4 linked regions of the Diceros bicornis minor genome follow. The protein of the gene in region 3 purifies or fractionates together with the protein of the main gene of each other region. This does not show direct contact. Links are inferred from orthologs where the notes say so. Each region holds a gene or a part of one and is shown on either strand. Other genes may lie near its edges.

Region 1 (7,120 bases), on a different chromosome or scaffold from region 3:
GCAGGGACTCTTTTTTTCATGCTCTTCACTTTTTTCCCTCTAAACTAATCATTACTTCTGAATAATTCAGGTAAACTGAGCAACTCTTTATTTCTTGAAACCTGAAAGAATCTAAGAACACACACATATGGGAGGAGATTTAACTCATGGGAATGAAAAAGAGCAAGAAGAGAGGAGAGGTGAAGATCTTCTAGGCCAGTGCTATCTCACACTATCTGTGAAGGAACTTTCTTTTCTTTTTAATTTCCAATATTTCATGAATTGATATGTTTGAAAATATTTTGAAAATAACATTTTAAAAATTACTAGGAAAATGAAAGCAAAGGGACGCAAAATACAAGCTCACATTTTTTAGTATTTTAAATAGTCATAAAATTACATTTCAAAAAATTAGAATTAAAAAAAATAGGATAAAAGAAAAAAACTACAAAAACTACACTTCGTTCACTGAAAGTGTACATGTAGGTGATTAATAGAAAATTGCTAATACACCCCTAATTTTTTGTCATTCCACAGTCATAACAACTAAATAAAAAGTTGGTAGTGAAGTAGCAATTTCCTATATTAAATGCTATAATAAACAATATTTAATATTTTAAGTTTTTCATTATTTAAAGTTTTTAACATTGACAAATGAGTGTGGTTCTTGTTAAATTATCTAATCTAGGTTGGATTGGTGACAATGTCACTAGCAGGATATAATGTATATCCAAACTGTTTCTATGTTTTATTTTAATAACATTCATATCGAGAAATCAGTCTCCAAAGGTATGTGTAAGGGGATGGAAGAAGAGATTTTAAAGCAATTTCAACAAGCTCAGGATATTCATTTTTAAATTCTACCCAAAATGAAGCAAGAGATGTTTTATTTTCAAAATTCATCTTCAATTCTTCATCAGTAGCCAGTTCCAAAAATTAGTCCTATAAAGTTAGAGTTACATTTAAATTATCTTTCAAAGATATGGATTCTGGATCCATGAATTCCCTATGTGTGGAGTTTATTTTCAATTCAAAATGTTTTATCAAATTCATAATTAGTTTATGTTTTATATGTAAATGCCACTGAAGTTTGATGGCTTTATTGCTTCATTAGTCAGTACCTGGTTTTAGCACTTCACTGTGAGTTATGGCTATGAACTCAGTAGATGGGGGATTATACTCGAGTAAAATCAGTACAAACTCTTAGATCTTGAATTCTTTGGAATCACTTCTCTGATGATTTGTTTACTACTTTATTATTACTAACACACTGCTGACGTGTCTTTTCTTGACAAAACAGGACAGTGAGGTTTGTTTTGCCATCTATAATTTAAGGTTAAGAACAAATGACAAATTTTTCTTCCCTAATTTAGCTACAAATTCCAAAAAACAGGCTTGATTAAAAATTAAAATGACTGTAAAAATAGCAAGTTATAAAAGTAAATAAATATTTACATTTTCAGATTTTTATTCACTTTTGGGTTACAGTTGACAAACTAACCTTAGAATTTCACTCCTTATAATGTGGTCCTACTGCACATGACAAAGACACAGCCATGCCACCTGCAACTCACCACACAAGTTGGAGAACACTTGAACTGTTCTATATTTTGTTAATGAGAGGTGTCCTATAATCATGTGCTTGGATATTGATGAAATGTCAAATTGCTATAAATGCTGCTAAGCACTTTTAATTTCTATAGTTATCTCCTCATGGACTACACACAAGCAGTTTGGAGGCTGGTACTGGTCCAAGGACCACATCTTGAGTAGTGCTGTCCTAGGGAACCTGCATTGAAGAGACTGGGAGAAGAAGAAGAACTAGTGGAGGAGTTTATGAAGTAACAGAAGGGAGGAGGAAAACAAGACCATAGATTTGTGGAAGACTAGGGCAGTTTTAAGAAAGAGGAAGGGGTTATTAACTGTGTTAACTGCAAGAAAGGTCAAGTAGATTGAGGACCAAAAAGAAGCTACTGAACTGACAATTAGGACATTGGTGACCTTTGAAAGAGTGATTTCAGTGGAGTGTTTGTGGTAGTAGTAGAAGAGAGCCAGGCATTAGTAGGCTGAGGGTTTGAGGAAGTAGATGGAACAAATAGGGCTACCCTTTCAAGAAGCTAGATGGTAAAGAAATGGAAACTGTGTGGTAGTTTAGGAGTGCAAAACAAGACTTTTTAGGCTAGGGGAGACTCAAAAAAAAATTTTGATATCACTGAAGGAGACTCAAGCTGAAGAGAGTTCTATCTCCAGATAGAAAATCTAAGAAAGATTTTTCTTTTTTGGTCTCACAGCCATCTTCTTAAATCTACTATGGAGGTGGGGGAGGATCAGGGGAAATTTCTATTAAGAATCTGCAGAATTTCTAATACTTTGGTATTACAACAGAAAGCTGTGAGGGGATGTAAGGATTTTGATTGACTCTATTGCTCCTGTAAGGATTTTAAATGTAGCAGGGGACACAGTTAAATTAATCCTTGGTAAAGATACACATCCTTTTGTAAATTGAGAAATGTCTTCGATTTATCTTAATTGTGGTAAATCCAAATGTTGATAAACTGAGTTTAAATAAAGCAGGTCATATCTACATATGAAGAGAGTTTACTTAGGTTCTCAGAACTGTCCTCCACTCTCCTGGCCTCCCCACCTTTAGCGAACAAGCATTTACCGTGTGCCCAACCCTTTGCTAGCTACTAAGGCCAAAACCATGCCTAAGATTTGGTCTCAGTCTTGAAAGGGCTCATAGGAGAAATACTATCAGTCGTGATGCTTTCTAGTGCAAACAACTGAAAACTTGCTCAGCTGAGGTCAGCTCTAGGGTTGGTGAAGTTAGAGGTTCAGTTATGTTATCGAGGACCCAGAATTTTTTGATATTCCTACTGTACCATCTTTAGCATTTCTGCCTTATCTTCAGGTCAGCTTGCCTTAAGTCACAATGGCTGCGGCAATTGCAAGCGTCACATCCTCATGATAATAGCTAAGTGGTAGAAAAACTGTGTCATCCTCGTATCTCATTTTAGCAGGCCTTCAGCAGACTATTTTTGATCTTGCAAAGACCAAAATTGCATCCTGAGCTCCTGCCTACACTAATCCCAGGCAAAGCGAATAGGAACTTGGATGGTATTTGCTCTCTCTAGCTGGGGCTGGGCATGGACCCTACCTTCTGACAAACTTCTGGCCCTCAAAAGAGGGTTTCTGAAGTTAGGCAGCACTAGCTGTGGAGTAGGCCAACGACTGCTAACCCTTTTTACATCCTGCTATATGTCATGGTATACATAGAGAATGATAATCAATTGTATGGTGTTTTCTTTAACGACATAGTGTAATGGATAAGAACCTCGGTTCAAATCCTCTGCCACCCATCAGCTCTGTAATATTGGGCAAATTAATTACCTCCTCTGAGCCTGTTTCCCCATCTGGAAAGTGGAATACTACTACTACTCATTTTAAAGGGTTGTTGCTGGGATTAAGGGAGATAATCATGTAAAACAGCCAGCACAATCCCTGGTACATAGTAAGCCCTCCTGAAATGTTAAGTCTGCCAGGCAAACTTCCATTCAACTGTCGCTGCTCTTTTGAGGTCTCAGACAATTCGACGGTGCCTCCTGTTTTTGCATCACTGTTAAAATATTTATCACACTATAATCTGTTCTTTACCCACAGCCCCTACTCCTCCCTTCCCTAACTAGTGATCTCTAAAAGGTCAGTAATTGTCCTACACTTTGTAGCTCCTAGTGATTGGCAAAGTTCAGCTCCTTTTACGCGTTCCACAAATGTTTGTTTTTGTTTTGGCCGACTGCTTAACGGATTGGGCGGGAGAGTGTGGTGGGGAGGGCGGGCGCCGCCCACGGGGGAGAGGGGCGTGCCCGCCGAGGGTGTAGCCGCCTGATATTCCCGGCAGGGCCTGAGCGGGAGCCGCTGCTCAACCCACAAACAGAGGGGGCCAGGCTCACCCACCAGACTGTGTAACGCTCCGTGACCGGCACCCAGGCCCGGAAGGGAGACTTTCGGGTAGAGACAGGTTCAGGCGGCGGCGGCGGCCTCGAGGAAGGCGGCTCGGCCCAGGCCGGGGCTCTGCGCCCAGCCCTCCCGAACCCGCACCCCCGCCCCGCGCACCGCCCGGCGCCCCGGTTCCCTCCCGACGCCGGCGGGCCCGGGAGCCTCGCGGACGTGACGCCGCGGGCGGAAGTGACGTTTTCCCGCGGTTGGACGCGGCGCTCGGTTGCCGGGCGGGGGAGGGCTCGTCCGGTTTTTCTCAGGGGACGTTCAAATTTTTGTAACGGGAGTCGGAGAGGACGGGGCGTGCCCGACGTGCGCGCGGCCTCCCTCCCGGGCCCACCTCCACCGCTCGCCGGCTCCTGCCCGGGCAGGGCGTCATGCCGCCCAAAACCCCCCGGAGAGCAGCCGCCGCCGCGGCCGCCGCCGAACCCCCGGCGCCGCCGCCGCCCCCGCCCCCCCCGGAGGAGGACCCCGAGCAGGACAGCGGCTCCGAGGACCTGCCTCTGGCCAGGTGAGCGAGCATCGCCGCGGCGGCCGCCGGCGCGCGAGATGGGCGCTCCGAGGGTGCGTCGAGGCGGGCGCCGCGGCGTCTCGGCGGGGGCGCGTCTTCTCCGGGTCCGGGTACCGGCGGGAGGAGGGTGCCCGCTTGTCCCCCGCCGCTGTGGAGCGCCTGGAGGAGGATGACAGGCGTCTGGGTGCGGGAGCGAGGGGAGGGCAGCCGGGAGGGGTCTCGGCTCCAGCTTGACAGGTGTCGGGCGGGTGGGGCTCGGGTCTCTGAGCGAAGTGACAGGTGCCGCCTTTCCTCAGCGAGTCGGGAGGCTCGCAGGCGGCGGGTAGTTTCGAGGCCCCATCAAACGCAAAGAGAAAAACAAAAACGAACTGGTGTCTGGCGGACAGTTTTTCTCCGGTCGAGATTTGTAGTTCGCCGGTGGTCGTTGGACTTTCTGTTTTGGTTTCCTGCGATGCGGCAGTGGGAAGTGTTTTTCTCCGGGCGCGCACTGCATCTGAAGCCCGGTCCTGGGAGAGGCCAACCAGGAAAGCCTGCGACGCTGCTGCAGAGACGCCTTGGGATGTGAAGTGTAGGGTGCTGGGTGTCACTTGCCCCCAGGGTACTCGACTGAGGTGCTATGTAGGATTTCCTTATAACAGTGCTTTGAGGCCTTGGGCTTCAGAGCCATCGATAGTGCCTGGTGGAACATAATTCTTTAGAGGAGCTCGTGTATGGGCAAAAGTTTTTTGAAACGTTAGTGTAAGTGCTTAAAAGTTTCTAAACGTTTTCTTTTTTCCCTGTTATATAAAATTCTTGCATGTTAATCTGCTGCAGCATGTCTCATTATTTCTTCCATTTTGCCTTTAGGCTTTGAGCCAGCAAGGATCCTGGTGTCCCCTCTTTTGTTCGTTTGTTTGGGTACAAAATTAGTGGTGTTCGTGTGCTCACATGGAACTATTTTTTTCCTAAGTGGAATCTAAATTTAAGCAAGTCCGTGATAATGCAGTAGAACATGACAGGGAGCCATTTATTGTATTGCAACATCTTATTTTTCTTGATTGTGATTCTTTATGGTTAAGAAGCTAAGATTGAGAGAGTGTAATTGTCATTATTGTTGTCAGCACTGGTCCTACTTTGAGACTACGCGTCCATTGCAGGGAATGAGCCTCCTTTCTGTCCCTCACCACTCCCTCCTCCCTTCTAGTCCATCACCAAGTCCTATTTCTTTCAACTCCCCAGACACTAACAGAGGTCAGGGGAATTGTAAAAGGTTGGAATGGGCTTTTGGAATTGGCCTGTGAAAGGCTATTAAAAATTCATATATTTAAATGAACTGTCTTACTGGTCAATTAAAAATCATGCTCACTAGTAAAAAAAAAAGTCTGAGGATGTTCTGGGAGAAGACATTACTTTAGTTTCTCATTAAACTGATGTATCCAATACTTGCAAGTTTCCCTTTGGAAAGAGCACTAATGTCTACTTTAAAGAATTCCATGTTATCCACATAGCTTTGGAAACATTCTCCATTATTGTAGGGTAACTAGAAGTTCTTGAAGTTCTGGCCGAGATCTGGGACTAGAAGAACTTTGTTTCTTTTATTTTTTCCCAACATATTATTTTGTATGCCTTTAAATGATGGAACTGTCAAAAATTCTCCTGTAAGTTAAATCCATACAAGATACAGTCTGCTGTTGATTATCCAGACCCACAAAAGGTTTCATTAGCATGGGCAATCGAACTCTGTAGATTAACTACTTAACAAGGGTAGAACCCTGGTCTGGTAATCTGAAACTGAGATTAGGGATGGATTCAGGGCCCAATTTAACTGCACTTCCAGTAACAGTTCATTTCTACCTTGAGAGTTGAGATCGTACTTCTGTTGCATTATCTCTGGCCTAAGTGATGTAGTTGGAAGGGAAACCATCACTAGAAACAGCACCCCACCTTCATTGTTGAGATAATCAAAAGTTAATTATATTTTGAGGGAGAGTTGGCAGTCTGGAATAGTTGTCAAGGGCGTGGATTATGGAGTTAGACTGTTGGGTTTATATCAAGGTTTTCCACCTACTAGCCATGACCTCAGGTGAGTGCTTAAACTTCTATGATTTGGTACTTATCTATAAAACAGGTTAATAAGAGTACTTACCTAGTAGGACTGATGTGAAGGTTCAGTGAAACCATGCTTCTAAGGTGCTTGGTAACGGGGTCATAGTAAGTACTCAAAAATTATTAGCTTTTTCTCTTATTATGATTATTCTTAGAAGTCAACTAGGTATTAAATGAATGAAAAGGAATTAGCCTACAAGTATTTATTAATTGCCTATCTTAGTTAAGGAAGATCGAGGAGAAAAGGCTGAAATAAGTGTAGCAATAATTTATGTCAAGTTGATCATCATGTGAGAAGTGCTAGTAGGTAGAGAGTTTATATGAAACATTGATAAGTGTAGACTGCATTTTAGCAAAGTCACTGATACTGAATTGATTCTGTAATATTATGTATGGGCTCTCCTATTTTTGCTGTTATTATTGTCCCAATTTTCCCAAACAGCTTTAGCTACTGTACTTATTTCCTTTGCCAAGCTGTTTTGCTGCTCTGAAGTATATGTGATTCACCAGACCAGCAAACATCTTTCACTCTGTGGTATCCTTATTTTG
Region 2 (7,358 bases), on a different chromosome or scaffold from region 3:
AACCCAATTGTCCATCAACAGATGAATGGATAAACAAAATGTGGTATATGCACACAATGGAATATTACTCAGCCATAAAAAGGAACGAAGTACTGATGCATACTACAACATAGATGAACCTTGAAAACGTTATGCTAAGTAAAAGAAGCCAGACACAAAAAGCCACATGTTGTACAATTCCATTTATATGAAATATCCAGAATAGGCAAATCCATAGAGACAGAGAGTGGATTTATGGTTGCCAGGGACTGGGGAGAGGGGAAATGAGGAGTGACTGCTTAATGGGTACAGGGTTTTTCCTTTTGGGGTGATGAAAAAGTTCTGGAACTAGATAGTAGCAGTTGCACAACATTGTGAATGTACGTAATGCCACTGGATTGTACACTTTAAAATGGGTAAAATGGTAAATTTTACATTATGTGTATTTTATCACAATTAAAAAAGCCTTCCACAGCCTGCTCATCTCACGTGGGATAAAATCCCAATTCCTCTGCATGCCCTCCCCTCAACTCCTACCAGCTCCCCCAGCTCACTCCACTCCAGCCACCTCTGTCCTCCACCTTGCTATTTTTCAATGCAACTTTTGCTTTTTTTGTGTCTCTCTTTTGACCTTAAAGTTGTAAGTATTTGTATCTCGCTCTCGAACTCCCCTGCTATGTTATAAACTCTGTGAGTGTAGAACTGTGTTTTACAGATCCTGGGTCCCCTCCAGCAGCATCATGACTATCTATTACAGGAACTCGGTGTTTGTTGAATGACTAAATGATTGCTCGTTTCTACAGAGTTACATCCACTTTCTGGCACTGAGCCATGTCTTCATACCTTCCCACCATAAATCACAACCTTTCATTCCCCTGCTCAGAACCCTCCAATGGTTTCCCATGACTTCAGAACAGTAGTCTGCAAACTACAGCCCCGGGGCCAAATCCAGCCCACACCTGTTTTTGTCTGGCCCTCTAGCTAAAAATGGCTTTTTACACTTTAAAATGGTTGAAGAAAATCAAAAATAAAAATTTGTGGCCTGCATGAATTATATGAAATTCAAATTTCAGCGTCCACAAGTCAAGTTTTAATGCAACACGGCCATGGACATTCATTAGTTTATAGTCCACGCTGCTTTTGTGCCACAATGGCAAGGCTGAATAGTTGCAACAGAGACCATATGTGGCCCTCAAAGCCTAAAATATTTACTCTCTGGTCTTTACAGAAAACCTTTGCAACTCTCTCTTTCGGAAGAAAATCCTGTTGCTCTGAGCATGGCCTGCAGAGCCCCCTCCGGGCTACTTTAAGATGACTCCCCCTCCCTCCCTCTGCGCTGGGAGCACTGGCCTCCGTCCTCAGCTCCTCCTCAGCCTCTCCAGGCTCGCTCCACCTCGAGTCTCATGCGCCCAGTCTCTCCCCCGGAACACCTTCCTTCACATGTGGCTCCTTCTCGACTCAGGTCCCACCTCTTGCCAGAGCCCTCTCCTGACCAGCCATCTGACGCAGACTCCCTTACGTTTTCTGGGACGTCGCCATGTTATTTTCTTCCTAGGACTTAGCACAACATCTAAGCACCGTATTTCTTTGTTTACTTACTTTTTGCCTCTGTACTAAGGCAGGGACTTGTATATCTGTTCACCAGTGTTCCCGGGGCCAGCATAGGCCTGGGGCGTAATAGTTTCTCGATAAATATTTGTCTAATGAGTGGCCTTTTCTTCTTACCTGAAGTATCTATACAAGATCTCCAGTGCATCAACCATGGCCCCAATTTGGACTTTGTAACTTCTTGCACAATCTATTAGGTTGAACTGCATGCAGTTAAAATTTGCATATGAATCTAAAAAGTCGAATACCAGTAATTTCATCGATGGCGGTATGTAGAAATATAAATCAACTAATTCTCCCGTTCAGCTATTTACTGCCCTCCAGCCACCTTGACCTACTTTGGGGTCCTCGAAATGTGCCAGTTGTCTCCTGCCAAACTAGATCCCACCCCTTATGGAGCTTTGCACTTATTCCTTCTGCTTCAGATCCAGGACCAAATGTCACCTCCTCCAGGAGGCCCCCTGGGATCACATCATGTCACAACAGCAGTTTTATTTTCTCCCCAGCACTTAACACATTCTAAAATTAAGTGTTGTTATATTTGCTTTTCCAGGCAGGAAACGTGTCGTTTTCATATATACTGTTGTCACCCAGGGTCTAGAGCAGGTCTGGCACTCAAGAGTGTCTCAAAGCTTATTTGAGTGTAATGTAAATTCCTTGAGCTTTTAACTTCTTAAATAGTTTGGTTGTTACCGGGTACAAAAAACGCTGAACATATACTTGCTAAGTAACTGGAGTGACTTCTCTGGGCTTTAGCCTCCTTCCACAGCCACCCCTGCCTCCATCGCCCTCCTCGTTGTCATGACAACAGCAGCAGCATCCATATTATCATCTTCACCTTGGAAGAGCGCCTTGCACTTATCGAGGTTCACCACGTGCCAGGCACTGTTCTAAGCACATTTTAGGTATTAATTAATTTAATCCTCCCAATAACTCTGGGAACCAGGTACCATTATTACCCTCATTTTACAGATGAGAAAACTGAGGCGCAGAGAGATTAAGTAATTTACCCGTCTGAAAAAGGAAGACATTCAGAACAAAAATGAAGTCTAAGCCCTCTTGGTCTCTAAAATACCGAGAAACAAATACTATGGAGAAAGGGAAACAAAACAGACAGGAAACACTCAAAGGCGATAGGAACCAATTTAGCAACAACAACAAAAAACACACCAAAGGCAGAAAGAAATCCCAGACATAGAGCAATTTGGTCAAAACTCAACTCTCAGGTGTTCTCAGGCCACCAAGCTCCCGGATTTCCCATCCAGTTCTGCAAGCCCCAGACCTGGATGTCACCCTTGACCTCTCCTCTCCCCGCTCCCACCCCAGAGCCCCGTGGGATTTACCTCCTGAGCGTCTTCCACGGTCGATTCCGGCCGCGTAGCTCCATTCTGCAGAGCTGGTGGCTGGCTCTGGAGCCACCATTATCTGTTATCTGGGCAGGAAGGGAACAGCCTCCCACCAGCCCCCAGGCCCCAGGCAGCTCCCATCCCCCACCCTCAGCAGCCAGAGGGATCTTTTGAAATTTCAATTTGGACCAGGACACACCCCCATCTCCCACCCCCCACCTCTAAGACCCTTCAAAGGTTTCCCATTGTTCTCTGGCCAAAGTCTCAAATTCTTAAGTGAGCCTTCGCGGGCCTGCAGGATTCCCTTCTCCAACTTCAGCTCCATTCTCTGAGCTCCAGCCAGACCCCAGCCAGCCTGGAAGGTTCAAATCCTAACGCTGCCATTCACTCACTGTGTGACCTTGTGCGAGTAACTTAACCTCTCTGGGCCTGTGAAATGTGGATAATAACACCTCCCAGAGCGTCATCAGGATTAAATCAGTTCCAGTAGTAAAAGTCATTATTTAGCGCTGTGTCTGGCACCACTTAGTTATCACTGTTGTTATCAGGTATCTCCTACACATCCTTCAAAACCCAACACAGGGGCCGGCCCTGTGGCTTAGTGGTTAAGTGCGGGCGCTCCGCTGCTGGCGCTGCTGGCGGCCAGGGTTCAAATCCTCGGTGCGCACCGAGGCACCGCTTCTCCGGCCATGCTGAGGCCGCGTCCCACATACAGCAACTGGAAGGATGTGCAGCTATGACATACAACTATCTACTGGGGCTTTGGGGGGAAAAATAAAAAAATAAATAAAATTATTTAAAAAAAAAAACACAAAATTCATTTCTTCAAGGTAGCCTTCCTGGACCCACTTTTCAATAAAATGGATCCCCCTGCTATAAGGTGCTTATGGCAATCATAATTTAATATGTAATACATGTTTAGTAACTGAGTATAAATTCCTATTATTGATTTCTTATTTAGTGCCTCTTGTTCAATTCTCTATCTCCCTGGCACATAGTAGGTGCTCAAAAATAATTTGGTGAATGTTAAACAGGGAATGGCTGAATGAATCAAATGCGAGGATCCCCGAATCCCCAATTTTCAAGTCCAAGAATTAGGAGAGTTGAGTTTTAATGAGGATGCAGGAAAACTGAAGCTGGCTGGGAGTAACCAGGTTACAAAAGGAAGCTACAGGGATTTGTGTGTAAATGGAAGTGGGAGTGGCCCAGAGGAGCCGCCGAGCAGGGCGGGTCAGCACAAAGCTCGCTGCTTGGAATTCCCGAGGAGCAGCTCAAACAAAGGAGCAGCTGAGGAGCTGAGGCTGAAGTCCCCGGGGCAGGACTGGTGGATCACCCTGGGGCAGGAGGCTGCAGACATCGCAGGGATTCTGGGCCTTCCCGTCTTTGCCCCTTCTCGTGGCTCCTACCCACCCCCTGGCTCACCAGCCCCAGGGCTGGTGGCTCATTCCAAGGCCTCCTGTCTCAGCCACACCCCGGGCCTCCACCAGCCTGACGTCAGAATCTCTGTGGGGTGGTAGGTTTAACAAATAAAAATATGGGATGCCCAGCTAAATGTGAATTTCAGATAAACAACCAAGAATCTTTTAGTCTAAGTACTTGCGGTATTTAACGTGGCACTCCAAACTCTCAGGTCGCATCAAACTCTCCCCAGCGGTGTCCTCTCTCAGTTACCTTTCCGTTTTGGAGTCCTGAGCCTCTTTGGAAGAGTGACTCAACCGCTCTGACCCGTTTCTGCCTCTGGATAAGCAAGACGGCACCAGCCACTTCAGGTGGAGTTAGGATTCAAAGAAAATGACCCACACAGTTCTTAGCACCCAATACAGACGCCATAAGGAGCAACCACTACAGCCATCCTTCTACTCCGTTTTCCTGGATGCCATTTCCTGGGGCCCTCCCACAAGCCCTTCTGAACTACGCAGCATGGATGGCTGAACCCGTTTTACAGAGGAGGAAAACTGAGGACCGCTGTTCAGTGGGAGGACCAAGAGGCAACGTGTCCAGTCTTTGGGACTCTCATGCCAAAGCTCTTCTTGAACCTGTATCAGATGTGAATGTGCAACACACTGTGAGGTACAGGAGGGCAGGGACATGACGTTGGTTTCGATGCTGGACTCTTGGAGCCCAGCAAAGTGCCTGGCTCCATAAATATTTGTGGAATGAGTGAATACTGTGAAAGGTGACATGAGTGGAGCCATATTAAAACAGAGCCGGAGCAGCCATTTCAGAGGAACTGCCTTGCACAACTTGTTGTCTTTATATTTCAAACTAGACCAAACCACAACATTCCAAGAAGTTGGTAAAGACAAGAATAGCCTGTTTGTAAGGATCCATGAAAGTGGACTTTGCCGATGACGAATCACTAACCAGTCGATGAAGGACAAGTCCAGCCTTTGGCCTGATGACCGTATCTCAAGCCAATCTATGAGTACAGACTTGTGTACAATCCATGAAGTACTTAGCTCAGCCAGCACCAGTGAACTCAGTACAACTCACCTCATCCTCCCTTTTTCCCATCAACACCCTGAGCCCCTCTCCTGTAACTGGGACACTATATGGGTTTCTACCTGTGTCTGTGCTCCCCAAATTGCAATTTTTTGATCCCAAATAAACTCTTTGCCTCTTAAACTGGTTTCTGTTTTTGTGGGTTGACAATACAAATCCACCAGGGTCTCCATGACATTATAAGAGAGTGCTCGCTCTCCCTCTCCCTCTCTTCTCTCTCTCTCTCACCCGTGTTCCAGATCTTGAATCCAGGCGTGTCTTCCTGTGCTTTCTCCATAGCCCTAACTACGTGGGGGGAAATTAAGTTTAAGTCATATTTCTGGCTTTTCTCCTGAAATGAAGCAAAATGACAAAATGTTGCTTCAAATGGGAAGAAACCTGACCGTGGGAATGTCAGAAAGGCAGCCCTGGGTGTTTTCTAGATGAGAAGGGACTTCAGAGGACTCGACTCAACAGGGTTGCATTCAGCATTCACTAAACCCCTACCATCCCCTCCTGACTGCCCAGAAACATTAGGAGATAAATGAATTCCCAAGAGAAAAGGATTTTCTAGGGTATTTGAGGAGATGTGTTGACTCCAACCCAGAGAACCCTCTGAGAACATGGAGCCATCTGATGGACGTTCTGATCAACTCTCCTCCAGAGTAAACGGGCATCCATGGTGCCTGTTCTTAATTGCTCCTACATGGTCTGGAAGCCAGACGTGAACACTGGGGTCTGACTTAGGGAACTATTTTCTATTTCTCACTTATGTTTTCTTTATTCAGTGTAGGGTTGGGATGGCTGTGGCGGGTGGTAAAGGAAGTTTGGAGTTTGACACCAATTTGATCAGGATCCATGCTCTTTATAATTCAGTGGAAGTGATTCACAGGCGTTTATCAGATTTATGTGTTCTCACCTTCAGGACATCTCCCAAAAGGCCACTGCCAGCCTGGCCACGGATCTCGACCTGACCAGCAGCCCTTTCTCCAGAGACTTCCCCTAACAACATGCTCATCTGGAAAGATCCTTCAGCTTGAAGGTCACTTCCTCAGAGATGCCCTCCTTGATTGCCTTATCTAGAGGAGAGGCCCCAGCCCCGCCCAGCAGTCACCCTCTATGACGTCACCCTTTTGTACTGAGCACATGGCTACCAGCAATCACACCACATGTGGTTCTCTGTTGACTTCTTGGTGTCTTAGCCTCCTCCAACTAGGCCATCAGTACCATGAGGACAGGACGCTGTCTGGCTAGATCATTCTAGCACCCCAAAACCAGAAGGCTGCCAGGCCCACAGCAGGCACCGAATCAGAGCCTGTTAAAAGGATCAATAATAACAATAATAATAATGATAATAATGACTCATTAACTGCCTGCTAACTATGTGCCAGGCAGGCAGGCCTCTCAGCATTTTTCATATATTAAGTCCTTGATTCTCCCCGCATTGTGAGGTAGGCCCCTTGATCATGCCACTTTGCACTTGCTGTTCCCTTTGCCTGGAATGTTCTTCCCCAGATAGCCACATGGCTCACCTCTCTCTTCATACTGGTCTCTGCTCAAATGTTATCAACTCAGAGGCCTTCCCTGACCCCCTCCCTGAAGCAGCACCCTTCAATCCCATACCCTGCTGTTAGGGGTTGAACTGTGATCCCCCCAAAAAGAGATGTCTGGCCCCCTAGTAGCTCAGAATGTGACCTTTTTGGAAATAGGATCTTCACAGAGGTAATCAAGTTCAAATGAGGTCGTGAGGGTGGGACCTAATCCAGTGTGACTGGTGTCCTTCTATAAAGGGGAAATCTGGACGCAGAGACAGATGCGCATAGAGGGAAGACGGCCGGGTGAAGACAGAGGATTGGAACAAGGCCTCTAGAAGCCACAGAACGCCAAAGACTGCCAGCAAACCATCAGCAGCCAGGACGAGCAAGGAAGGACCCTCCCCACAGG
Region 3 (7,419 bases):
TGATATTTTTATAGCATAATTTCTATTCAAATGTCATCCATCTTGAGCCCTTCTCTGACTACCCTATCCCCCCTTACCACCCACCCAATCCCTCCTTCTCTACTTTTTAAAAGACCATAGCACCACCTAAAATAGTATGTATTTATTTGCTTGTGCTTATTATTTTGCCTCCTCTCACCACTAGAAGGTAAGCTCTGTGAGGGGAGATACTTTGTCTTTTTATTGTTCATTGTTATATATCCAGCATCTAGAAGAGTGCCTGGAACATAGCACCTGCTCAGTAACTGTTGTTGAACACATGAATGTATGTCTAACATTCCTCCCTACATGTATACTGCCTCTCCTGTTAGACTGCTCTTCTTCTTCCATTCTACATCTACATTAATGCATCATCATTCACTCAAATGTCAAAAGGTTATTCTCAACCCATCCCTCTCTTGAAATCACCCAACATCAGATTGATAATTTTTTTGTGTGTGAGAGGAAGATTATCCTTGAGCTAACATCTGTTGCCAATCCTCCTCTATTTGCTGAGGAAGACTGGCCCTGGGCTAACATCCCTGTCCATCTTCCTCTACTTTATATGTGGGACACCTGCCACAGCATGGCTTGAGAAGTGGTACGTAGGTCTGTGCCTGGGATCTGAACCTGTGAGCCCTGGACCACCGAAGCGGAGTGTGCAAACTTAACCACTATGCCACTGGGCCAGCCCAGACTGATAATTTTTTTAAAAAATCACACTGGTGGCAGAGGATCAATTAAGAACAATGCCTGAAGATCTGGGAGGCTACAGTGATAATTCATATGAAGGAAAAGGCCTAAACAAGGGTGGCAACGATGGAACTATGAAGGGGGAAATGGGAGATATTTAAAGGTTCCAATTGACTGGCTCCAGGACAGGAAGCTAGCTGGAGTAGCTGACATTAATCAGAATGGGAAATACAAGGGAAGAACATGTTTGGAGGCTGTGAGAAAAGCAGCCTGGGGAACACTAACATGATATATTCTCCCACCCCAGAGCTTTTCTTTCCTATCAGCTTAGTCTTGTGCTGCATGACATTAATGTTCTTGCCAGTAATCTCACTTCTTTTTCCTTATCTTCCTGTTGTAACTATGTTGATAATCCCCACACTTTACATCTGCCTTCTATGTATGCTGCTGGAGAATGTCTCACATTTATGGGAAATGGTATTAACATAAACGTACAGTCTCCAACCTTAATTAAGCCCTCAGAAGTGAAGAACACTTCTCAGGAAACATTAGCTCCTTCTAATTTCCACAGTAGCTATTTTGGACACTCACCATTTGCTTCAAGCCCCTAAAGCAGCCCTCCTAGAACCTTTCTCTTCATTTCTCAAAGGCTATTAGGCACCACTGCCTCAACTTCTTGCCTTCTCACCCACTTACTTATCATCTTTGTACTTGTACTTACCTCCTTCCTCTGCTTCAGAGAAAGAGGTGGCCCCCCCTCATCATGCTCTAGTTTCTTCGATCTCTTAGGGACTTTGACTATTCTCTTCTATCTTCAATCTCCAGTGCTCCATTAGTTTTTCTTCTCAGCACTTAGATGTACTCATCTCTCCTAGCTCGTAAAAAGTTTGTTTGGTTCTTCTTTACAAACTCCTGTGAAACAAGTTCTCAGCAGTGACTCCATTTTGTACTCTGGACTCCATCTTCTTAAAAATATGAAACTGTGCTGACCTTGCTGACTTGCCAAAAGGAGATATTTGCTGAGAAAGGACTTTCTGAAGGACTGTGCAAAAATATACTTTTTCTGGTAACAACAAGATGTCCTTGAGTAAGCCAATGCTAATTCACTCTCCATTCATAAATCTTAACAAACAACTGAGGTAATTGTTCTGGGCTCTCCATTTTGCTAATAAAAACATCTGACTTTTACTCCTCAGGGGGACACTTTTCTGGCTGCTGCGGGTACCTGTGTTCCCCGAATTGCAATTCTGAGACTCCAAATAAGTGATCTCCTTTGCTTTGCAGTTGCCTCTTTTTTCTAAGGTGACAGTCCATTCTTCCTGTACCCCATCTTTCCCTCCACAACCAAGAATCTTAAGTCTATGCTTGGTTCCTTTACTTTACCTTTCATTCACTTTGCAACTCACTAGAAATTGGATTTCAACTCCATAACTTCATTTGAAATTGCTCTATGACCTACTAATTGCTAAATTAAATTGTGCCTATCTTGTCTTTTCTCACATGATCTCTTTCTGGCATTTTATACTTTTTGTATAAAATGTACTTTTTGCCAATTTTCACCTTTTCTCCAAGTTTTACTCACTTACTGACTATGAAAACACTCAAATCTCTCTCTCCATTCATTTTTTTTTTTTTTTGGTGAGGAAGATTGGCCCTGGGCTAACATCCATGCCCAACTTCCTCTACTTTATATGTGGGACACCTGCCACAGCATGGCTTGATAAGTGGTGCGTAGGTCTGCAACTGGGATCTGAACCTGCGAACCCCAGGCTGCAAAAGTGGAGTGCTCAAACCTAACCACTAAGCCACTGTGCCAGCCCCTGTCCATTCATTCTTAACATCACGTACCGGTTTTTCTTTTTCTAGTGAAAGAACTATTACCTTCCTGGAAAAATTAATGTTTAATTAGTTCAGTTCAAATAACTGAAAAGTAAATTCTAGCTTCTCTTACTTGTGCAGGAGAAATCACAGGCTTCACAGCAATAATATATCTCAAAGTAAGAATCAATATAATTGAGGCAGCAAATAATTAAGAAGGAGTTTGGAGTTATTGAGTTTGGAGATGAAAAGTGACAAGATGAATTCTGGATTTTAGACAAGCAATCTGACAACTGAGTGGAGAGGGATTTGACAGGGGGCAAGAACTGTGCTGTTATCATAGCTCAGGTGAGAGAGAAATTAGGCTAGTCATAATGAGGATGGAGAGACATGGGTGGATTGAAGATGTTTAGGTGATAGAATTTCCAGACTTGACACACGATTGTGCATGGGCAGTAAGGGAGCAGGAGTCAAGGATTATTTCTAGATTTCTGGCTCTGGCAACTGAGTAGATGGATGAAGTCATTCATGGAAACTGGAAACACTGAAAAAACAGTGAGGAACTAGTGGAAGAACTATTATCTTCCTGGAAAAATTAACTTTAAATTAATTAATCAAGGTACTTTGAGTTTACCAAGTGGAGTTGTCCAGTAGGTAGCTTGATGTACTACAGCTGTAACTTAGGAGAGAAATCTAGGCTGAAAATAGATTTGGGGGGCATCAGCCATACCTGGCAATTTAGGTCCTGGGGGTAGCTGAGATTGCACAGGGAGTATGAGAACAAGCCCTGGGAAGAAAGTCTTCCTTCCAATAAATATATATATTTTTTTTGTGAGGAAGATCAGTCCTGAGCTAACATCCATGCCAATCCTCCTCTTGTTGCTGAGGAAGACTGGCCCCGGGCTAACATCTGTGCCCATCTTCCTCCACTTCATATGGGACGCCACAGCAGCATGGCCTGACAAGCGGTGCATCGGTGTACGCCCAGGATCCAAACCCAGTCCCCCAGCAGCGGAGACTGCGCACTTAGCTGCTAGGCCACAGGGCCGGCCCCCCAATAAATATTTAAACTAAGAACTATCCTTTCGTGGTTTCTTCTTTAGTCCTTTCTACCTTATTCTCCCTGATTTGGAGGAAGTGGAGCTGGACACCGGCATAGAGCGTTTTGATGAGCAGGGTCAGAACAGCTGTCATAGATTTTACAGCAAATTGAGAAAGGCTTACGGAGCATGTGGTGCCAGAGGGAAGGCGCTCCTGTTGAGAGACTTGGGTGTTGTCAATAGTTGGAAAAGCAAGGTCAAGAGCCGTTGCTTCTATGTGGAGGAAAACCAATTTCTGGACAGTGGCTAAGGTCTCCGGCAGGATTTGAGGGATGGGTTCGGACCAGAACTTGTTGTCATGGAGATGGGACGGCTACAAAGTGACGAGTGAGATTATTCAAAAGAGATACTAACAGTCAAAGTACTGAAAAAAGAGAGAGATGCTGAAAACCTTAGTTACTTGAAAAAACACAGATAGGTAGGTTAAAACAAACCATACACCCAACAGCGAAATGGGACGGCTGAGGTTAGGGCCGCGTTGCTTTCGTGTCCCTTTATACACAAAAGGGAACTGGACCCTCCTCGCCGGAAGCAGAACCTCTGCCCTCTGGTGTATTACACATTCCTCCGCGCCGGAAGAGTGCGTCTTGCCTCATAGCCGCCCGCTTCCCCCACCCCTACCTCTTCTATAGGAGAGATCGTGGGACCTCTAGGGTGTGCCGCTTGAAGTCGTCCGACCGTTCGGAACTTTCGCGGACAAGGAGACCAGGAACGACACTGGGTTGCCAGGAAAGGCACGAAGAAGAAAGGTCGTACAACAAGGCGTCGCGTTGCTGCGGAGGGATTCTGTTTTTTGGGGTGCGGAGGGATTTGACAGTACGTTAACTTCCGGAAAAGTCCTGGCCCTGAGAGGAAAAGCCCCGAAGGAAACAATAACAAACGAGAGGAGGAAGCGATTCTGGGCTTACCGTGTTGAGCAGGTCTTGTTCGAGAAGATGAGCTTCGGCCCCTGTCAGGGGACGTGAAAGGGGTCGGTGGGCTTCAGCCAGCCTTTCTCCATCTGTCCCCGCACGGGGTCCCTTGGGTGTTGCCATGGCGGGCGTGGGGCCAGGGGGCTACGCGGCGGAGTTCGTGCCCCCTCCGGAGTGCCCAGTCTTTGAGCCCAGCTGGGAGGAGTTCACAGACCCACTCAGCTTCATCGGCCGCATCCGGCCTCTGGCGGAGAAGACCGGCATCTGCAAAATCCGACCGCCCAAGGTACCGTACGAGTCTGAGGAGAGAGGGGGAGAAGAGAGCGTGGGGAAGTCGATATGCTAGGTTTAGCTTTATTTTTCCGGTCCTCCTGTCCTTTCATCTTTACTCTCCCTCATTTCTAACAAGTAGAAGCTAAGTTTCTGGATATTTTTGCTTTGGTTTCTCTTGCAGTCTTAGGTAGGCACGTCTGAGCGCGAGAGAGCGGAGTCCCCGGGGCCTTTCCGCCTAGAACTTGGGAACAGATACTTCGGGTTGTGGGCAAGGGTAACAGAAGGCTTTAGGCCGATAAGGTGTTTGAAGTATTGTGCCATGACGTACAGTCAGATACAGTCCCCATTAAGGTGCGATAGGAAAAACTGCCCTTCCGTCGGCTATTTTTTTATCGAAGTCTTATCGATGCTTAATTTAGTAAATATTTGCAGGCCTCATCTTGGGGCTAAGGTTTCTTAAACGGTAATCTGAGCCCCAGTTGTCCCCTAGGATATATCACCAAACAAGAACCCCACACTGGTTACTGCTGCAGTGGAAAGATCTTCCCGGGGGAAGAGAAGGAGCAGCATTTATTTTTAAAATTTAGAGGTTTAGGACAAAATTGTCACAAAAGTGGAAGAAAACTTTGGCATCTTTTGATGTAAGGAACCATGGATCAAAGATTTACGAATCGCAGTGATTGCAAATAACTGGGTTTGCCTATAGGTTAGTTATAGTTCTCAATCGTTAGGATACCCCTTGTTTGCGGAAATTAGTGTCCCAAGAGGTTGGGTGATTTGCTCAAGGTCAGAAGATTTTTTTCTTGACCCATTAGACCATTGCTTTCCAGATGATGTTCCTGGTCCACCTGCACCAGAGTTAGCCCTATGCTTGCTAAAATGCAGATTCCTAGGCCTCATTGCGAGACTAGAATCAGTTTCTGGATGTGGAAGTTCTAGAATCTACTTTTCTAGCAAGTACTCTTAGATGGCTCCTAACGCACATTAAAGTTTGTGAACCATTGCCCTAGGGCTTCGTAAAGGGACCTCTTGCTTTATGTTTTGTCTTCCGTTAACAAAAATAAAACATTAAGTGCTGTTTTACCCATGTCGCATTTTAAAAAACGTCTGCTCTTACCACAGTGAATAAAAAGAGCTTAGATGGGAGGGAGGAGGAGGAGCTAGTTTAGCACCTACAGATTATTTCGTTTAATATTCTTTTAAGCCCTAGTAGGTAAATAAGGTCTCATTTTACAGATAAGGCAAGTTGGAATAAGTTAAATAACTTATCAAATGTGTGATCTTGGGCGAGTGGCAAAGTAGATTTTGAACCTAGATCAATCTGCTTGATTCTAAAATCTAGACATGCTGCTCCCATTATGCTTAATGAATTTAAGATTATAGACTATCAATTGCAAGCAAAGGATTAACAGATAATTGCTATGATGAATGATGATACATGGGTTGCCATCCTCCAGAAGCTTTACTTAACTCTTTTTTAATCAAAATTATCTAATATTGACAAAACCTTAAGCACTGAAGTTTTTCCTAAACCATATTTTCATCTACTCTATTGTGTTTAGGAATTAGAAATTCTAGCAAAGGTTCCTTTTGGTAAAAAATTATAACTTTTTTATTACTTAACAAAAGGTTGAAATAATGTACCTTCTCTTTGTATGTCATATTATTTTTGAAAATAAATCTTGTTTACAAGCAGAATTTAATTTCAATATTGGTGGATTTCTTTAGTTTCCAAGGTAAGATAAGTTTTTTTTTTTCCCTACTTCTCATGTTTTTAAATAGATTTACTATTATTTAGGCCAAATCAAGCTATGTTCTCTGAACCCTACTTGAAATGTGCTGTCTCGTTTAAGTTATACCACATCTCCAATCTGGAAATTGTCCTTGTTCTGTGGGTTTGCTTACTTTTTTTAATATTTGGGTACCCAGAAGCTAGGCTTTGAATATAACATTTATATAACATAGACTGTAAAGTGCTGTGTCACATTACACACAAATGGAAAACATATTATTCCATTATATAAGTACTTTTTAAAAATTATTTTAATTTTACCATTTTTTGTTTCTGTCAAATTCTGTTTTTTTAATTTGGTAAACTTGGATGTTTGTTAGACACTGTATTGAGATACATGAGCTCATTACATTCCACTTGAATAATTGGGGAAAGCATAATTGTGGGATGTAAGTAAAGGGACTGGTGAGAGTTGAGGATTACAGATAAGGTAATTTTAGTATTACTTAGAATATTAGAGATAAGTAATTAGAGATAAATAATATTAAAATTATTCACCTAAAAAATACTAGTCTTTCTGTCTCTACAACAAAGAAGACTTATGAACTGATCTGTTGTCATCATGATTTGTGGCAACTGACATTTTACATTAAAGGAATGAAGAATGCATCCCTTGCTTATACCAATATGTTTTTTAAAAAAATTCTTTCTGTTTAGGATTGGCAACCTCCATTTGCATGTGAAGTAAAAAGCTTTCGTTTCACTCCCAGAGTCCAGCGCCTGAATGAGCTTGAGGTGAGTGTTCACCATTTCTGCTTCCTGATTCATTACGTCAGGGATCCAGATAGAGAACTTTGAGAAGCTTATGTACCAG
Region 4 (7,692 bases), on a different chromosome or scaffold from region 3:
GAAATGCTCAAGATTGCCAGCTAACAACCAGAAGCTAGGAGAGAGGCATGGAACAGATTATCCCTCACAGCCCTCAGAAGGAACTGACCCTGCCAACCACTTGATCTTGGACTTTTAGCCCCCAGAACTATGAGACAATAAATTTGTTGTTTAAGCCGCCCAGTTTGTGGTACTTTATTATGGTAACCCCAGGAAACTAATAAAATCAGGAAGTGATTTTGATTTTAAATTTATTTTTTTATACCTTATATTAAGTAATTATCATCTTCATTTCATTTCAAAAGCCTTAGGAAAAGCAATGGCTTGTTTCAATGTAGACCTCAGTTCAGCTCAAGTGAGGAAGTTAGGATCACAGCTCCTTCAGAAGTAACATTTAAAAATGAGCTTGATCTCAAAGGATATTTTGTTCTTATTGTTGGCTGATAATTTATTATGTTGACTAATGATTTATTACTATTTGTACTAAAAGAATATATTCAAAGATATACCAAATCAAACACATTTTATTCTCCCATAGAACTCATATTTGAAAACTTTACATTCAATTATTCTATAAATGAATTTAAGAAAGTGTGTTAATTCTCTGTGATCCAGTTTCTTCAACAAGTAAATGTCAAGAAAAAGAAAGAGACAAACAGAGTCAACTCAATTAAATGAAATGCAATGAAATGTGTGGACTGTGTTTGGATCCTGATTTCAACCAAGCAATCATAAAAAAACATGTATGAGACAATCGGGGGAATCTGAACACTGACTGGATACTTGAAGATATTAAGGGATTATTATTTTTTTTTATGTAATAATGGTACTGTGTTAAAAAGGGCCTTTATCTTTTAGGGATGCCTACTCACTTGTTTATGAATGAAATAGATATGATATCTGGGATTTGTGTGTAGGTATTTGGGTGGATGGAGGAATAGGTGGGTATAAATGAAACAAGATTAGCCACATGTTAATACCTACAGAAGTTGAATGATGGATACACCATGGTTCATTGTACTATCCCCTCTGCTTTGGTATGTGTTTTTAAATTAAAAAACTATTTCATTATGCAAAACCAAAAGTGTCCAAGGAAACAAGTAACCTCTTTGTCCAGTGATCAAATTTAGCATCACTAATGAGACAACCAGACATCACGTGCCTCCTGATGTGATGCAATGAGAAGTGCATAGCATCAGCTATAACATATTGTTAAAAACACTCAGATCTAATCAAGTCTTGAGACCTAACTTTAAGTTTGTAGAAAATACAGAGAAAAGAGAAACGAGTTAAGTGACACCATGAATAAACAATCAGATAAATCCAGAATGTCAGACATTCAAAAAGCCTCAGTTTCTTCAAAAGCAAATGTCATGAACAAATACTAATACCACTAATAATAAGGTGTATATGTGTGGGTGGACTGTTTTTGTGCCAAGGGCTCCGCTCCCACCCCCATGGCAGTCTGGTGAAGCCAATGAACACTTTTTTCAGAATGTTTTTAAGTGTACAAAATAAAAAACATAGGATTATAAAAGAAAACAATTATATTGAAATACAGCTATCAAAACATCTTAAAATATGATATGGTAATGTACATGCTTCATTTTTAATGCATTAAATAACAAGATCTAACAGCAGGTCTAATAAGTACAATAATTTCAAAGGAATGATGAATGTAAATATCTCTGAGATATATGTAGGAACTGTAATGTGATATGAAAACATCTGATTTTTATTGTGACAAAGCCACGTGTGCTGCTGATACTATTGTAGTTTGGTACCTTCATTTATAACAAAAGGAAATGCTAAATTTCACAAGTTCGGTGAAAATCAAGATGTAAGTTTTTCCCATCCAAGTTCACGGACCCTTTGAATTGTATCCATGGACTCCTACTTTAAGAATTTCTGGTCTAGAACGTTAAAAAGATGAGCTCTAACAACCAAATGCAATACATTGTCATTTAATGGATCCTGTTTTGAAAAAACAAGCAACAAGCATACAAATATAAAAATATTTTAGGAACAAGTGTGGAAATGTGGAGTAGAAATCGTATAATTTTAGGGAATTATTGTTAATCGTGTTGGGTGTGACAACAGTATTGTGGTACGTAGGAGAATGCCTTTCTATTTTGGAAGTACATACTGAAGAAATCAGACATGATAGGTGCTGATACAAGGCAAATACGGGAAAATACAATTGTTGAAATGAGATGATATATAATGTATTCTTTCTACGTTTCTGTATGTTTGAAATTTTCATAATAAAATATAAAATAAAGTGACTTTTGAGATATTTTTATTAAGGCATAATGTGGATAAGATAAAGTGCATTACTCGTAAGTGTACAGCTTCATGAATTTTACATAGGTAAACACCTTTGTAACCACACCAGATCAAGATATAGAACATTTCCAGCTCCCTGAAGTTCCCTAAGTGCCCGTGTCCAAGTCAGTGCCCCCTTCCACTCCAGTTAATCATGCTCCTGATTTCTAACACCATCGATAAAGTATATTTCTTTGCTGTCTGGTTTCCTTTGTACAACATGTGTTATATTAACACAAAATTTTAGAGACTGGTATTACTTTGTTAGGCAAGGATGTCGCAAAACAGGCCTTCTCCTAAATTGCTGGTTGAAATGTAAATTGATGAAGCCTTTCATAAGACAGTTTAAAATGCCCACATCCTTTGATTCAGTGATTCTACATCTAGGCTCTTAAAAAAAATAAAAGCAGTGTGCACAAAGATTTAGGTTTGAAAGACGTAGGTTTCTAACAGTGGAAAATTGAAAGCAACCTAAATGTCCAGCAACAGAACCAAGGTTAGATAAATTATGGTCTATTTATACTATGGTATGTCATGACCAATTAAAAATGTGAGATGGACACATGTAATTGGAGTGATCTCTAAGTCATATCGTTAAGTTAAAAAAGAAGAAGACACAGAACAATACGTACAGTCTATTTACGGTAAAAGAAAAAACAATAGGGAGTACAGAAAAATGTCCATGCCAACTGATGGGGAAGTAAATGAGGGAAAATAAAAGGATTCTTGAAGTTTTGCCCTGTATTTTATACTTGTGAATTGTTGCATCATGAACAACCCAAATATTCAAGTATCACTTGTATAGTTAAAACAAAGGCAAAAAATTAAGTTTAATATAAATAAAGAACATAATGAGGCTGCTAGGATAAAGAACTCTGCAAGGATCCTCCAACAACTGTAACAGTAGTACCTTTGTTGCGGGAATGGGCAGATGAGGGACCGAGGTGCGAAAGGAACTTTTCACTATCTTCATTTTTATATTTTTAAAATTTTGAATTATTGAATTATTTTAAAGTATTTTTATTCAAAAAGTTTAAAAAAGAAGTGTGCCGGACAGTTTGGTTGGGGTCACAAAGAGGCCCTTGCCCCTTTCTTTGATACTTGAAGGAGTAGTACCAGCAAGGTGGTGTATAGACAACTGGAATGGCGGTTCTTTGTGGATTTCTGTGGCCCAAGAAGCCATTGTGTTGGAAGGAAGATGGAAAAAGAAACCGGAGTCAGATAAATGGAGAGGAGTCTAGAATTGGTGGGATGCATAGCACGCTCAGGGGCGGGTTTAGAACAGCCGTGGAGACAAGTGTAAGGCCTGAGGGATGGTTGAGCACTGCTTGTGGACGCACTTGAATGCCAGGCTAAGGACTTTGGGATTCCTCCTCCTCAACGTTTGTTGAGCACTGATTCACTGTTAAGCACCGCAGAAGCCTTTCCATGCAACTATCACAGTAAACCGATGGAAAAGTGCTATTATTCTCCCCATTTTGCAGCTGAGCAAACTAAGGACTTTTTGAACATGGGAACGACATGAGGAAATTCGTTTAAGTTGTGTGTATATTTAATAATAGCCCAAAGAAATTAGGTGACAAAAGATTGCACAAATAGGGCAAGTGCAGAACTCCCGCTTAGATATTATACGGCATTTTTCGCGTTAGCCTCTTTCGGTGGCGCGCAGAACTCCATTATCTCGAAAAGCCAAAGCTCGATCCCCAGCCTGCCTAGTGTCTCCCATTCTTCCTCATTTCCTGGAAAAGGGTATGAGCAGGCGCCGACAAACGGCCATTAGTGCCACCAAATAAACTGGCAGTGAGCTTGCTAACCAACGAAACTTCTAGACGCCGACTCCATTTTCTGGCCAGACTGCTGGCCCTAAAGCTGTCCTATGCAGAAACTACTCGAGATGCTTTTGCAGGTAGGCTTCAGAGGCAGCCTTTTCTCTCAGGCCACTTCAAAGCCCACATCATTGTGGCCCTATATTGCCCATGGGACTCCACAACTGGGCTTTTCCCATTCTTTTATCGCCGGTGATGCACACCGCCACACTTCCCCTCGCACCAACAACGCACAAAATCAAATCCAGGCTTGAACAACCCCTGGCGGTCCGGGAGCAGGTAAATGGGGAATGGGGGGGGGGGGGGGCCAGGGGCACCGCCCTTCCCCCACCCCGCGGCGCCTCAGCCGCCTTGGAACTACCAATCCCGGCGTGCCCCGGGGCGGCGCGGGCGCAGGGGCGCGTGCGCGGCGGGCAGCCGTTGGCTGGAGCGGCGGCTGCGCGGGTCGCGGTGCTGTGAGGTCTGCGGGCGCTGGCAAATCGGGCCCAGGATGTAGAGCTGGCGGTGCCTGACGGCGCGTCTGACGCGGAGTTGGGTGGGGTAGAGAGTAGGGGGCGGTAGTCGGGGGTGGTGGGAGAAGGAGGAGGCGGCGGCGAATCACTTATAAATGGCGCCGAAGCAGGACCCGAAGCCTAAATTCCAGGAGGGTGAGTCTCGGCCTTTTGGGAAAGGGCACCTAACGGCGCAGGAGAGGGAGGCGGGCTTGATGTGGTCGAATTTGGGGGCCCGGGGGCGGCCTGGGCTGCGCCCCGAGACGGCGGCGGGCAGGGCTTTGTGCAGAAAGCGCATTGCGGCGGGTAGTTTCGGTGCGTCATTGGGAGAAGACGCCGTGTGAAGCGAAAGCGTCCCGCGGGCGTGCGAGTGGGAGAGCGCGCCTGGCGCGTGGCAGAGCCGTAGTCAAGTGTTTGTTATTGTTCTGAGGAAGAGGGCGCGGAGAAAGTAGCCTATTGTCGGGCGGCGACGGGTGCGCCATGGCGGCGCTGAGGGGAAGTGATGTGGCGGAGGGGAGGGGAGGGAGCGGCGGCCGGTTCGGGCGCTCGCACGGGGTCTCCGGCCGCGGGGGCGGCCAGCGGCGGGCGCTCCGGAGCCGCCTCGAGCCCCAAGGTGGTGGCGTTCGGTGGAGCCTCGGGGCTGCGGCCGGGGGGTGGGCTTCGCGCCCCGCGGCGGGAGAACTGCGTTGTAAAATGGCCGCTGCGAGATGGCTGGCGCATCATGGCCGCCGGCGCCGGCCGCGGCCGCAGCTCGAGGGCAGATGCAGCGCCCCCTTCCCCCGCGAGCGCGCGGAAGCCGGTTCCCCCGCGCCGACCTCGGGGAGAGGGGTAGGGGCCGGAGAAAGGAGCAGGGGCGTCTTTGTCTGCTTTGTGTCGCCCGAAGGCATCGTTTTGCTCTCCGAAAAGCCCGGTGCCAAGATCCGAAGGGAGAGTGCGCGCGCTCATGCTGTGCGATTGCTTGTATAAAAACAAATAAAAGCTCCTTTAATGCAGTATTGTGATGTTTCCATTTATAAGTCCTATTGCCTTGATGTCATCTTTTAAATACAGCAACTGTTTGATTAATTGCAATAACGTTTAATAGTAACTTGAAAGTTGAGATTTTTATTAATTGGGTTTTGATCGACAGGTCTTGGCTGACGGTGGAACCTGACTTCCAATGGAAGACAGCTCTTTAATTTTCACAATTAACACATGTATTAATGTATATTAAAGTGGAGGCTTTATAGTAAACTAAAGTGGAAATAAAACGCAGCAGGAACGCTTTAAAATTACCTTTTCATTGTTATGAATATATGTGCTAGTTACCATAGATGTCCAGATGTCTGCAAAAAAATTTTCTTGTAAGGATTTTCAAACGTTAATGTGCGTTAGGATTACCGTTAGAGTCATATACTCAAACCCCAAGTATATTGTAACCTTATGGAATATTTAAGAGTTTTTCAAGGGTATTTTTGATAATGACAGACTCTTAATACCTGCCTTCTCCCGTTTTGAGAAGCTGTGACTACCTCCTATGGATTCTTTTTTTTAAATCGCGTGTTTTAGAGCAGAGATTTTAAATCTAGAGTTAGTGGATTTAATTCAGAAGATCCGTGAACTTGGACGGGAAAAGTTTTTCTTTTTTTATTATCTAACTGAAATTTAGTATTTTAATTATGAATGTGGGCGCCCCCACCCCCGCCAAAAGAAAAACCTAGCAGTAGTAGTGGCAGTGTGTTTTCATATCCCAGGGTTTACAGTTGTGGGAGATATAGTCGGATGTCACTTATGCTCCTCATTACTTCAGAATTATGATAGTTACTGGATCTGCAGCTAAATGTTTACTACATCAATTAAAGAGCTCATGTAATATAGAAAATGATATTTAAAGTGTTTGGTAACTATTCCAATACAGTAGATTTCCTTTGTAGTACTGTGTTTTGTGTGTTCATAAAAACATTTTAGGAAAAGTCCTGTAGCCTTCACTAAACTGTCGGGTCCATGGCACAAAAAGTTAATCCCTACTGTAGGATATCAAAGGAAAATCTCTGAGGCTTGGAACAGTCAAGGATGGCTTTCTGGAGGAAGTGCTTTAGTTCTAAACTTAAAGAGATGGTCGAGTGAGGGGGGATAACGGCGTAGGGAACTCCATGTGCTGCTATTGTGGTGAAATAGAGAAGAATAGGAACCAAGGTACCCTTATTAAGTAAGGTTTTGAAAGCTACCTAAGAGAGTCTCTGCCCTTAACCATCACTTTCCAGATGTGTTTTCTACTCTTGTGTCAAAGCTGAGTTGTATAACCATCTTTAAGAAATTATAGTTAGTTATTTTTAAGACATACTTAGAGAATATATTGTAGGAAAAAGTAGAAATACTCAGTGCCAAGTATATCAAAATGTAGAAAAATCAATGTAGTGGAAAAATGAGTTATCAGAAGTAGTATTGTTTTCCTGATTCCTTTAAACGCCCAAGTTTTTCTCATCTAATAATGGTACAGCATATGCTGTCAGCAATTTTTAAGCACAGTGACTGTTTTGCACTGCACTTGAAATTCTGTTAAAGCATAGGGTAAAGAAAACTGTTGGGCGTCTAGCCCATTGTCAGAGGGAAGGCCCTTTTGCCTTGTCAGGAATTGAGAGACTGATGCGGGCTTTTGAGTGATGTTCCTAGTAAGCACAAACCAATGGGAAGATGGGGAATTGGAATCTCATCAACCTTGAATTTGGGAGCATTGGGCAGAATTACCTTTGTAGTTTGCTGGAAAGGATTAAGAGTGGAGAAGGATCTAAAAAAATGTATCTATTACAGTGGTTTGCTCTTTCCCCAATTGCCAGTCTTTCTCTCCACTTCCATAATAGGCATTTGTTATTCTGTGGTGCACTCCCTAGCTAGCTGTATATTTTTTCAACAGTATTAGGGCCAGGTTGCTAGAATGGAGGTCAAAATTGCACTTAGCATCAGTGCAGTTTTCTTTGACAGCAGCAGCCAGAGGGGGGTGTAGGGCCATTTTCAGGGTGCCTTTAAAGTGTACCTGGAAAGTGAAATTAGGAGACAGAGATCTGATCTTTGGTGCTGCTGTTTATTAATGC

What was found.
Region 1: the proteins of KDM5A (region 3) and RB1 purify together in Homo sapiens (affinity purification with western blotting; 4 studies listed by BioGRID and IntAct, with this or other methods). This does not show direct contact. The link is inferred for Diceros bicornis minor from reciprocal best matches to the Homo sapiens genes KDM5A and RB1.
Region 2: the proteins of KDM5A (region 3) and ZMYND8 purify together in Homo sapiens (affinity purification with mass spectrometry; 3 studies listed by BioGRID and IntAct, with this or other methods). This does not show direct contact. The link is inferred for Diceros bicornis minor from reciprocal best matches to the Homo sapiens genes KDM5A and ZMYND8.
Region 4: the proteins of KDM5A (region 3) and MORF4L1 purify together in Homo sapiens (affinity purification with mass spectrometry; 5 studies listed by BioGRID and IntAct, counting the BioPlex papers as one, with this or other methods). This does not show direct contact. The link is inferred for Diceros bicornis minor from reciprocal best matches to the Homo sapiens genes KDM5A and MORF4L1.

The regions. Positions count from the first base shown.
Region 1 is NC_080748.1:28,794,705-28,801,824, reverse strand, and holds the start of RB1 (retinoblastoma-associated protein), read left to right. Parts: upstream 1-4,117; 5' UTR 4,118-4,352; coding exon 4,353-4,486; intron 4,487-7,120. UniProt on the Homo sapiens protein: Tumor suppressor that is a key regulator of the G1/S transition of the cell cycle. The hypophosphorylated form binds transcription regulators of the E2F family, preventing transcription of E2F-responsive genes.
Region 2 is NC_080758.1:14,223,276-14,230,633, reverse strand, and holds the start of ZMYND8 (MYND-type zinc finger-containing chromatin reader ZMYND8), read right to left. Parts: upstream 3,014-7,358; 5' UTR 2,975-3,013; coding exon 2,931-2,974; intron 1-2,930. UniProt on the Homo sapiens protein: Chromatin reader that recognizes dual histone modifications such as histone H3.1 dimethylated at 'Lys-36' and histone H4 acetylated at 'Lys-16' (H3.1K36me2-H4K16ac) and histone H3 methylated at 'Lys-4' and histone H4 acetylated at 'Lys-14' (H3K4me1-H3K14ac).
Region 3 is NC_080756.1:59,031,390-59,038,808, reverse strand, and holds the start of KDM5A (lysine-specific demethylase 5A), read left to right. Parts: upstream 1-4,416; 5' UTR 4,417-4,661; coding exon 4,662-4,826; intron 4,827-7,262; coding exon 7,263-7,340; intron 7,341-7,419. UniProt on the Homo sapiens protein: Histone demethylase that specifically demethylates 'Lys-4' of histone H3, thereby playing a central role in histone code. Does not demethylate histone H3 'Lys-9', H3 'Lys-27', H3 'Lys-36', H3 'Lys-79' or H4 'Lys-20'.
Region 4 is NC_080744.1:71,150,289-71,157,980, forward strand, and holds the start of MORF4L1 (mortality factor 4-like protein 1), read left to right. Parts: upstream 1-4,680; 5' UTR 4,681-4,737; coding exon 4,738-4,777; intron 4,778-7,692. UniProt on the Homo sapiens protein: Component of the NuA4 histone acetyltransferase (HAT) complex which is involved in transcriptional activation of select genes principally by acetylation of nucleosomal histones H4 and H2A.